Ovis aries: one gene and its partner. The protein of the gene in region 1 binds, or shares a complex with, the protein of each later gene. Links are inferred from orthologs where the notes say so. Each region holds a gene or a part of one and is shown on either strand. Other genes may lie near its edges.

Region 1 (4,444 bases):
ATCCCAAGCCTGGGTGGTAAAAATGCCCATCGGTTCATCCATGTTCGGCCGGGAATCAGCCAAGATAGAACACATAGGACTGTCAGCTGAGAAAGCTGTCAAAGCACGAGGGATCCCTGAAGTGTCTCGATAGGTCTCAGCTCAGCTGAGCAGCTGTGAGCAACATAGAGCCTCTGCTGTCACCTGCTGTCCCAAAGGTCTCAGCAGAGGACACCACATGTACGAAGGGGCTGGAGGAGCTTGCTGGCACCACAAAGCCTCACAGAAAGCCCAGAGCCCTGGCCAGGCCCCCATCTCTAACCCCATCTCCCACCGTTGGCCCCTCATTCATTCCTACTTCTAACTATTCCTCAAACAGGCCAAGTTCATTCCCATGCAGGGCCTTTGCTCTTGCTGTGACCTCTGCCCAAAAGACTGCTCCTCCTGCCTAGAAGCAGCTTTCCCCAGTTGTCCCAAGCCTTCCTGCTCCTTGTCATCCAGCTCTCCAATCTTGGTCCCTTCCTGTGAGAGGCCTTTCCTGACCATCCCATCTAAATGAGCAACACCCCCCCCCACACACACACACACACACACAATCCATCATTCCTCTCCATTATATCTTCCTGCTTGACTTCCTCTGTGGTGCTTTACACATCTGAAATGATCTTGTTCATTATTTGCTTATATGCTTAGAGAAGTACCTGGCAAGCGGAAGGCACTCAGTGAACATGTGCTGAATGAATGGACGAATGCATAAACGAATGAATGGAAAATCTTACTAAGTGTTTTCTATATTAAGGATCCGAGCACCTACAGCCAGGGCACCCCCTCCTTTCAGTTACCAGGGGCAGAGACCACAAGAAATAACCCTGTGGTTGGTAACAACTTAACAACCAGCCAGCAGTTATATCCACACACATTGCTGGGCATGGTTCCAAAGCTAAAAGGCACTAATTGCTTTTATATAAGGAGGTAGAAACACAGTCCCTCCGTGTCCTTTAGTCCTGATGCTCTGCATGTCGGTGTCTGTCGCCGTGTTCATCGCTCCTGTCTCACACAGCCAGTTTGAGCTTTATTCTGCCTATGTCTGGGACGGTGACAGGTTCCTAGACAGAGGAGAGAGGAACTGTGTCCCTGTATGTGTGTGTCCACGTGTGTGTGCACGTGTGCAGAAAAGCAGTGACGCTCTGGGAAGGGTTAACTCGCAACCAGGCTGCCTGTGCTCAGGGCCCTACGGCTGGCCCAGGAATGGGGTGGGCCTGGAAGGTGGAGCGGGCTTGATTCACATCAGCTGCTCTTTCCAAGACAGGAGTGCAAATGCCTGCCCAGCTGGCCTGAGCGTGCTGAACTCCAGTCGCCTTTAAGAATGGTTGCAGGAGCCCACACCTGGCAATCACTCCCCCTACCCCCCTGCCTCTCCACAGCAGGTTGCATCTGGGAGACTATCCGGTCAGTCATTAGAGGAATGAGCCGAGAGTGAGCCGTTCACCAGCTTGCCAGCACTTGGTGGAAAGCAGCAGGCAAGCATGGAAGTGGTTGACAGCCTTCTCATGAATGAAAGCAACCTGACTCCCCCCTGTGAACTGGGGATCGAAAATGAGACGCTTTTCTGCTTGGATCAGCCCCGTCCTTCCAAAGGTAGGTGTCAGAGGCTGTTATCTGAATTCAGAAAACCTTAAGTTTGTGGGAAAAATCAGCAAAGGCAAGGCTGACTGTGAAAACAGAACACAGTCCTAATGAGACGAAGCTGGATAAAGTCATCTGCTCAGAAGTTTGGATGAGAGATCTAAAAGCAGAACTGAGTCCAGTGCTCTTGTTGTTCCCCATGGGAGAGTTGGGATTAATGTATAGGACTTGGGGGGCACAAAAGCAGCGGGAGGAGGAGCTGAAGTGGAGCCAGAGGGAGTACAAGTGTAAAAGCTGGAACTTACAGCATCGCAGAAAAGGCGCTGTCACAGTCTAGCTGTCGCCTTTCCTTGGGGGAAATCAGTGTGAAGAAGTGATTAAATCGAAATAATGCTTAGCAGCTAGGAAAGAAAGCAAATCACTGGAGGAGCTTTGTTCTTAAGAAAAAGTGGTTCCCCAAGTGAGTGATCCGTTAACAGACCAGCCTTTCAGAAGCAACTGAATCACTCTGTGCTCTCCTTGCTTTGTTTCTGCAAAATATCTAAGTATGGGGAGAGCTGGGTTCGGTGATGCACACCCCTGAAAATACAAACCGGCGGGAAATAAGTGTTCACTTGGTGTGCTAGGGTTTTAACATTCTGCCCTCACCACCTGCATCTCTCCGTCTTGTCCGGGTTCCTCCTTGCAGAGTGGCAGCCGGCCGTGCAGATTCTCTTATATTCCTTGATATTCCTGCTCAGCGTGCTGGGAAACACACTGGTCATTACGGTGCTGATTAGGAACAAGAGAATGAGAACAGTCACCAACATTTTCCTCCTCTCCCTGGCTGTCAGCGATCTCATGCTTTGTCTATTCTGCATGCCATTCAACCTCATCCCCAACCTGCTCAAGGATTTCATCTTCGGGAGCGCTGTTTGCAAGACCACCACCTACTTCATGGGTGAGTTGCTGCTGGTGCCTATTTCTGGAGTTTCACCCTTAATCAGTGAAACTCAGTCCCAGACCTTCCCTAACCCCTGACAGCCTCCACAGAGAAGCCCTGATGGGTGTACAGAACAAAACATCTGACTGTATGGGGCTGGGTACAAGGACAGAGGAGCTGGCTTTATGGGAGGGTCAGTCCTCATAACGCCCCAGAAGTCAGTCCCCAGTCTTAGGGGACCAGTTCCTCAAAGTGGAATAAGTTGGTAAGAAACTACAGAAGACACTGGTTTTGCTTGCTTCTGTTAGAAAGACAGACAGATTCAAGCTGATCTGTGCCTTCCTGGAAGGCATTGATTGTACTCTGAGCTCTACCCAACCCAAGGCATGGTTTTTGGGGTGACCAGACTGCTGGAAGAAGGCTTTTTCTGCTACCATTCTGGCGCTTATAGGGAACAGGGTTATTCAAAATCCAGTTTCACCAGAGGTCTAGATTCCCTTCTCAGGATTCACTTTCCAGCCTGTTTTCACAGAGGCTGGGACCATCTTAGGCAGAAAGAGAGAGAGAACCTCTACCACAAATACAACAAGTTGAATTTGCTGCCAGTGCCTAGGTGGATAAGCTGACCCTGATTGACTGAGATATGCAGCTCGCTGCCTTTGCCAATCAGAATGATGGTGATGATGAAAAATCATAAGAGCTAATGTCTTTGAGTACATTTTTTTTTGAGTACCAGATGTTCTACTAATTGCTTTAAGTTTTTACTTCCATGATCATATTTTATCTCACAACCACTCTATGAAGTATACACAGTTATTCTTCCCTGTCTCACTGAGAGGGGAACAGAGGCATAGAGAGGTTAATAATGTGCCCAAGGACACACAGGTGGTAAGCCACAGAGCTGACTTGAACCCCAATTGGTGGCCACTACAATGGCGAGTAAATACACAGCCTCATTTTGCCAACTGCTGTGGCTCATCTGAGGCTGAAACAAGGCATTTCTCTGGGCCCCTCCACCTGCCAAAATGCTTCCTCTCTTGCCCATTCTGAGAGCTGGTTGCGGGACGGGGAGAAGAGGTGGGAAATGAAGAAGGAGTTGGTTGTTCTGACCTAAGCCCTGCAAAATACGCAGAGCTGAGCTGCCTAGGGCAGCCTTCAGTGACCAGAAAGCTTCAAAAGCCTTTATTTCTTCCAACTGAGGAAGCAGGATCCAGCGCTGACAAAACGATGATGAATGGCTGATCTACATGCCATGGACAAATAACCGAGAAAGTGTCAGGCTGGGTCCAAGTACTCGAAAAAGAAAAATGGACTCACAAACGAAAAGGATTGTTGTTAAACAATGACGCAATAATAATAACCAACATCTCACAGTGCCTCAGGCTTTCAAGGGCTGTCTGTATATATCCTACGGTAATATTTAATCATTTTAACCAGGGTTTATGAAAGGAGATTAAAAATGAGTCCTTGTGTAGTTGCACAATATCAGTGTGCTAAATGCAGCAGTTGTTCACTTTAAAATGATTAATTTTATGTTATATGAATTTTACCTCAATTAAAAAAATGTTTTAAAATAGCTGGGGTCTGAGGCTAGGAACCTTAACACTCTTTCTGAAAATACCCAGTACAGACTGTTCTAGAAAATGAGAAGCAAGATACTTCTAAAAGTGTTTGCAATACTATAATGGTTTTGTTGGATTTCTGATTCCAGTCATTTCAATTCTCCCCTAATTTCATGTTCTTAACAATTAACACGCATTAAATTCCTAATACATAGCCAAAAGGGCTTCCCAGGTGGCTCAACGGGTAAAGAAACTGCCTGCAATGCAGGAGACACAGCAGACATAGGCTTGATCCCTGGGTTGGGAATGACCCCTGGAGGAGGACATGGCAATTCGCTGCAGTATTCTTGCCTGG
Region 2 (4,480 bases), on another chromosome or scaffold:
GTTCAGTAACTGGCTTACCCTAAGGAAATTCTGTAGCTGTGGTTCTCAAAGTGTGGTCAGGGGACCATCACCACCAGCAGTAGCCTTAGGGAAATCGTTAGAAAGGCAAGTTTCTGGGCCCCACCTCAGACCTACTGAATCAGAAACTCTGGGAGGTGTTTGAGCAAGCCCCTTAGGTGATTATGCTCCATAACAACTTCATGTTCTCAGACATGCCTTGACCACAGTCACAAATAAAACTAGTTTCACCAAGTGAACTTACACAGTAGCCTCCTTGGGAAAACCACTGGGAAGCATCTAATCTGCAACTCTGTTTCAAAAATGTTGCCTTTAGATTGCAGAAATGCAGCAGCCTCTAGAGTTTAAAAAGGGGGACAGCAACCACAGGCATCTCCCCACCAAGTGTCAGGCTCCCCACCCACTTCAACACCACAGTCTCACCATCCCAGGAGCTGAGTACAGATTCTGATTTGAAAGAATCAGGTCCAAATCTTTCTCCAGGAAGGGAAAAGGCGGGAGGGGCGGGTGGCTACCCTCAAGTCTCAGCCTGCTGAGACTCCAGGAAACTGTGGAGAAGCCTTGGCCAGTTGCTGCTTCTGTTGGCTCCCCGGTTGCTGAAATGGGGTTGTCAGTAATTTTGCAGCACCGGGAGAACTGGAGCACTAACTAGATGACTCTAACCCAAAGGGCTTCAGGGCGGAGGTGAGTGTAGACCCCTATGGCGCACTGGCCGGGGGCGCGACCCCGCAGGGAAGGGCGCACAGCTGCCGCGGCGCCTCCCTTGTCCCCACTAGGGGGGTGAGTGACAAGAGCGAGGTCTTTATTTCAAAGACGGCGGGGACCGGCCCAAGTGTAAAAGCTGGGAAAGATGGAACTGGCGGATGCCGATGCCAGAGGGGAACGGCGATTGAGCGGCTTTTGAGGACACTCTCTGGTGCCGCTTGGCGACAGGAGCTGCGGGCGCCGCGGGCAGGAGGTAGCTCCGCTTGGAAGAAAACACAGCCCTTTCCCAAACTCCGGGCAAAGCCCAATAGCCTCATCCTCGTTTCACAGCTACGTAAAGCAGAGTCCGCGACACCCGCAGCCAGCCGTGGAGGAGCCCTTTCGCTGACCCAGGGACCCTTGCCCTCGGGATCCTGGGATCAAGGGGCTGAGAACAAAGTTTAAAAACCAGAGCAGCCTGGGATGCTCCAAGAGGGGCCGACATTTCCACCATCTCAGAATTACACTTTGCTGACACCCAGCGCTGTCTAGTGCCACCCCATCCTATCCCGGGTTTCCTTTCCCGCGCCTCTGGTCCCCAAAGCGAACTGTAGGCGCGCGGCGGCTTCTCCATCCCGCAGGAGAGTCCCATTCCTAGGTCTCCCACCCTGAAGACGGGGAGCTTCGCGCTGGAATGGGCAAGGCAGAGGGGGTGCACGGAGCTGGGGGAGGAAGTCCCCCCGACCGAGACGCGGCTGACGCCACCCACCCCGCCACCCACCCGGCTCCACAGGGCCATTGCCCCCCCCCCCCCCCCCCCCAGGCAGCCACCTCAATCTATTGTCGCCCCGGCGGCCGCCCTCGGAGCACGTGCCGCTACCCTCTGCGTCAGTACTGGGTAAACAGATGACTGGCCAACGACTCAGGCGGGGCTATTTAAGAGGCAGCCTCCTGCCCGCCTACCTTGAACTTGGCTCAGCTCCCCCGCTGCTCTGGCTGGACCGCGAAGCCGGCTGCGTCCTATTCCGAAGGTAGGTTCCCGGCTCTCGGGGATCCAAGTGTCCTCGAAGAATGATTCTTCACTTCTGTTCCCCTTCCATTTCATTTTACTGTTTACGGTGTCTTCTTTCCGACAGCTCGAAAGACATTTCTCCAAGTCACAAAGGACAGTGCGGGCTGGGTGGATAGAGCTGGTTTACAGACTTCTACTCGCTTGATTTGTTCTCCAGCGCAGGCAACGCTGGAGCATCTATTTGCTCGGGTTAGCCGGCAAATTGCGATTCGCTAGGTGTTACACAGCGGTCCAGTGTACTTTGCAATCTTTTCAAATATACTACCGAGAGGTTTTAAATTTAAATTCATTTTCTGAATGCTGCGGGAAAACTCAAGGTTTGAGGGATAGAACTATCCCAGTGTTTCATCTGCGCGGATCTAAAACGCAGCGGTGCTTGGCGGACGCCGGAGGACTGAGCGCAGATTTCTGATTTTTTTAAAAGCCTGCCTGTGTTTCACATAGTTGTTCTTGCCAATTCCCATTTGCACCTTGAGGAAACTTGAAAAATACGGCTTTTATGTATTGGTCTCATATTTCAAGCCGTGCTTCTCAGTGTTTCACCATTTATTTCCCTGGTTGAAGCGTCTTAGCTCTCTGGTAAGGTGCCTCTTTTCTAAAACCAAGGCTCTTATTTTTCCTACAGAGTCGTCCCTTTCGGATAATTTTCACCTGTCTTTAATCTCTTGTTTTTCCAGTTAGGAGAAGAGAGACGACGCTGTAACACTTCCTCAAACTAAAGGAAAACCGAAGACATTCCTTCTGCTAAACAGGGCAGAGGACAGGGTCTCTCTCCGTCCCCCACACCACTCCCGGGCCCCGGATTGCGGTTCACCCCAAAGAGGAACGCGGTGCGCCCGGACGCGCATGCTGGGGTCACCGGCTCCCTAGTGCTGGCACCTGCCTGGCGGATCCGGAGCCCCGCGCCTTTGGGCTGAGCCCCCTTCTCTGTACCTTGGGTGTCCGACCCTCCTCAAGAGCCCGCGGATGCCCCACCTTTTCGTTCACGTCCCCTTCCCTCTGCTCCCCGCAGCCATGAACCGCGGCGCGCGCCTGTGCTTGCTGATGGCGGTCCTGGCGGCGGGCGCCCTGGCGCAGCCGATGCCTCACGCGGACCCCACGGGCCCTCCGGCGCAGCAGGAGGAGGAGGCGCCCCGGAGGCAGCTGAGGGCGGTGCCGAGGGTGGACGACGAGTCCAGAGCACACCTGGGCGCGCTGCTGGCCAGGTACATCCAGCAGGCTCGGAAAGGTACGCAGGCCGCCTCTCTGTCCCTCCCTTCTGCCTCCAGGCCTGACCCTCTTCTCTGCCATCGGGCTGGTGAAGGTGGGTGACTCCTGGGGAGTGAAGGGTTACTTGGGCAACACGATAAGGTGAAAGGTCTTTAACTTTCTTTTCTCTGATTCTGCTTGCCCCAGACAGTGCAGTTTTCTGTACCTCCTTTGTAGCAAGCTGAGAGGGAAGGGGGCAGGACTTAACTTATTAAGAGAAGGCTTTCTTTAAACTTTTTGGCACTGTGTTGCTGTTTAGGTTCAACATATTGTAAAGATATTAAAAGATGATTACTGAGCGAATTACTAACTCAGAAAGAGTTTGCAGATCCAATAAACACCCTCTGCTGTAAATATAAAGGACCCAGGAGCTGCCCAGCTACTGCATTTGGAAACCCTCTAGCAGGCAATGGTCAGTTGCAAGAATACTTGAGAGCTGACAGCAACAGTCCAAGAAGTGACTGTGTGTTAATTTTCATGGAAGTATGTAGCAGGAAGAAAGAATCAGGAGCAGTTTTGAGTCCTCTTTGAGCAGCGGCTTAAGATGATGACCCAGCAAGAGATGTGTTTATTTTTACTTTGCTGTTGGAGACACAGACCCAAATGCGGCAAGAGCTAAACAAGTCACACTTTCCTCAGCATCAAAATCTTTCTCTAGGAATAAAGTAATTCAGCAACTCAGTAGCTGAGTGGCATACAGACAGCCCTGTCCCTGTCCTGGGCCTGACTGTCTCATCTGTAAAGAGGGTATGAGGTGGGGTTCCCCTTGGCTCCTTCTAGCTCTTCATGAGACTCAGGGGGAGGCTCATTCAACTCTGGGGTCCTTAGAAATCATGATTTGAACTGGGACAGATTTTTTTTTTCCTATCAACTTTATCTAAAGTGACACTAATGGTGAAGCTGTGTTTTAAATTGGACCAATATGGCTGGATGATAAACCAGCAAATACTGCTGGGAGAGGTGGGAGGTGGGCTCCTTTCCCACAAGGCTCTCTTAACATTAATTGCTGGGGTTCTGGGGCCTGGATTTGAACTTTAACTTGTGGCTTGATGAAATGGGGAGAAAATAGAGGGTTTGGCTCTCCAGAGTCTCCTACAATTCCATAGGAAAGTGAGAAGGGACATTTTTGACCAGGACAATTCAGAAGGGAAAAAAATAGAAGACGATGCATTACATTTCATCCTCTTATTGGGGGATTGTCCCAACTACCATCTTCTATTTTGCTTTCCTCCTAATTATATTGAAAGATGTGGAAATATTAGACAGACGACAGAGAATGTCTGAAAATTTGGAGGTTCCTGCTGACTGTCTGTGTGAAAGTAGTTTAAAATCTGTCCTTGGATATGGGTTGAATATCCTAGGTTTTTCATTGACCATAATCTGGAAGCCCCTTCCTACCTTCAGGAAAGATCCTCCAGAAACTGTTCTGGGAAAGAAGCCAGTTACCAAATGATTTCC

The links.
Region 2: the proteins of CCKAR (region 1) and CCK are in contact, whole or in part, in a cryo-EM structure (PDB 7MBX), measured with the Homo sapiens proteins. The link is inferred for Ovis aries from reciprocal best matches to the Homo sapiens genes CCKAR and CCK. Residues at the interface, in NP_000721.1 of Homo sapiens: Cys94, Phe97, Asn98, Pro101, Asn102, Lys105, Asp106, Phe107, Thr118, Met121, Gly122, Val125, Tyr176, Phe185, Asn194, Met195, Cys196, Arg197, Phe198, His210, Leu213, Leu217, Ile329, Phe330, Ala332, Asn333, Arg336, Ala343, Glu344, Leu347; in NP_000720.1 of Homo sapiens: Asp96, Tyr97, Met98, Gly99, Trp100, Met101, Asp102, Phe103.

What each region holds. Positions count from the first base shown.
Region 1 is NC_056059.1:46,498,909-46,503,352, reverse strand, and holds the start of CCKAR (cholecystokinin receptor type A), read left to right. Parts: upstream 1-1,477; 5' UTR 1,478-1,505; coding exon 1,506-1,617; intron 1,618-2,293; coding exon 2,294-2,545; intron 2,546-4,444. UniProt on the Homo sapiens protein: Receptor for cholecystokinin. Mediates pancreatic growth and enzyme secretion, smooth muscle contraction of the gall bladder and stomach. Has a 1000-fold higher affinity for CCK rather than for gastrin.
Region 2 is NC_056072.1:14,569,927-14,574,406, reverse strand, and holds the start of CCK (cholecystokinin), read left to right. Parts: upstream 1-1,668; 5' UTR 1,669-1,733; intron 1,734-2,786; 5' UTR 2,787-2,788; coding exon 2,789-3,002; intron 3,003-4,480. UniProt on the Homo sapiens protein: This peptide hormone induces gall bladder contraction and the release of pancreatic enzymes in the gut. Its function in the brain is not clear.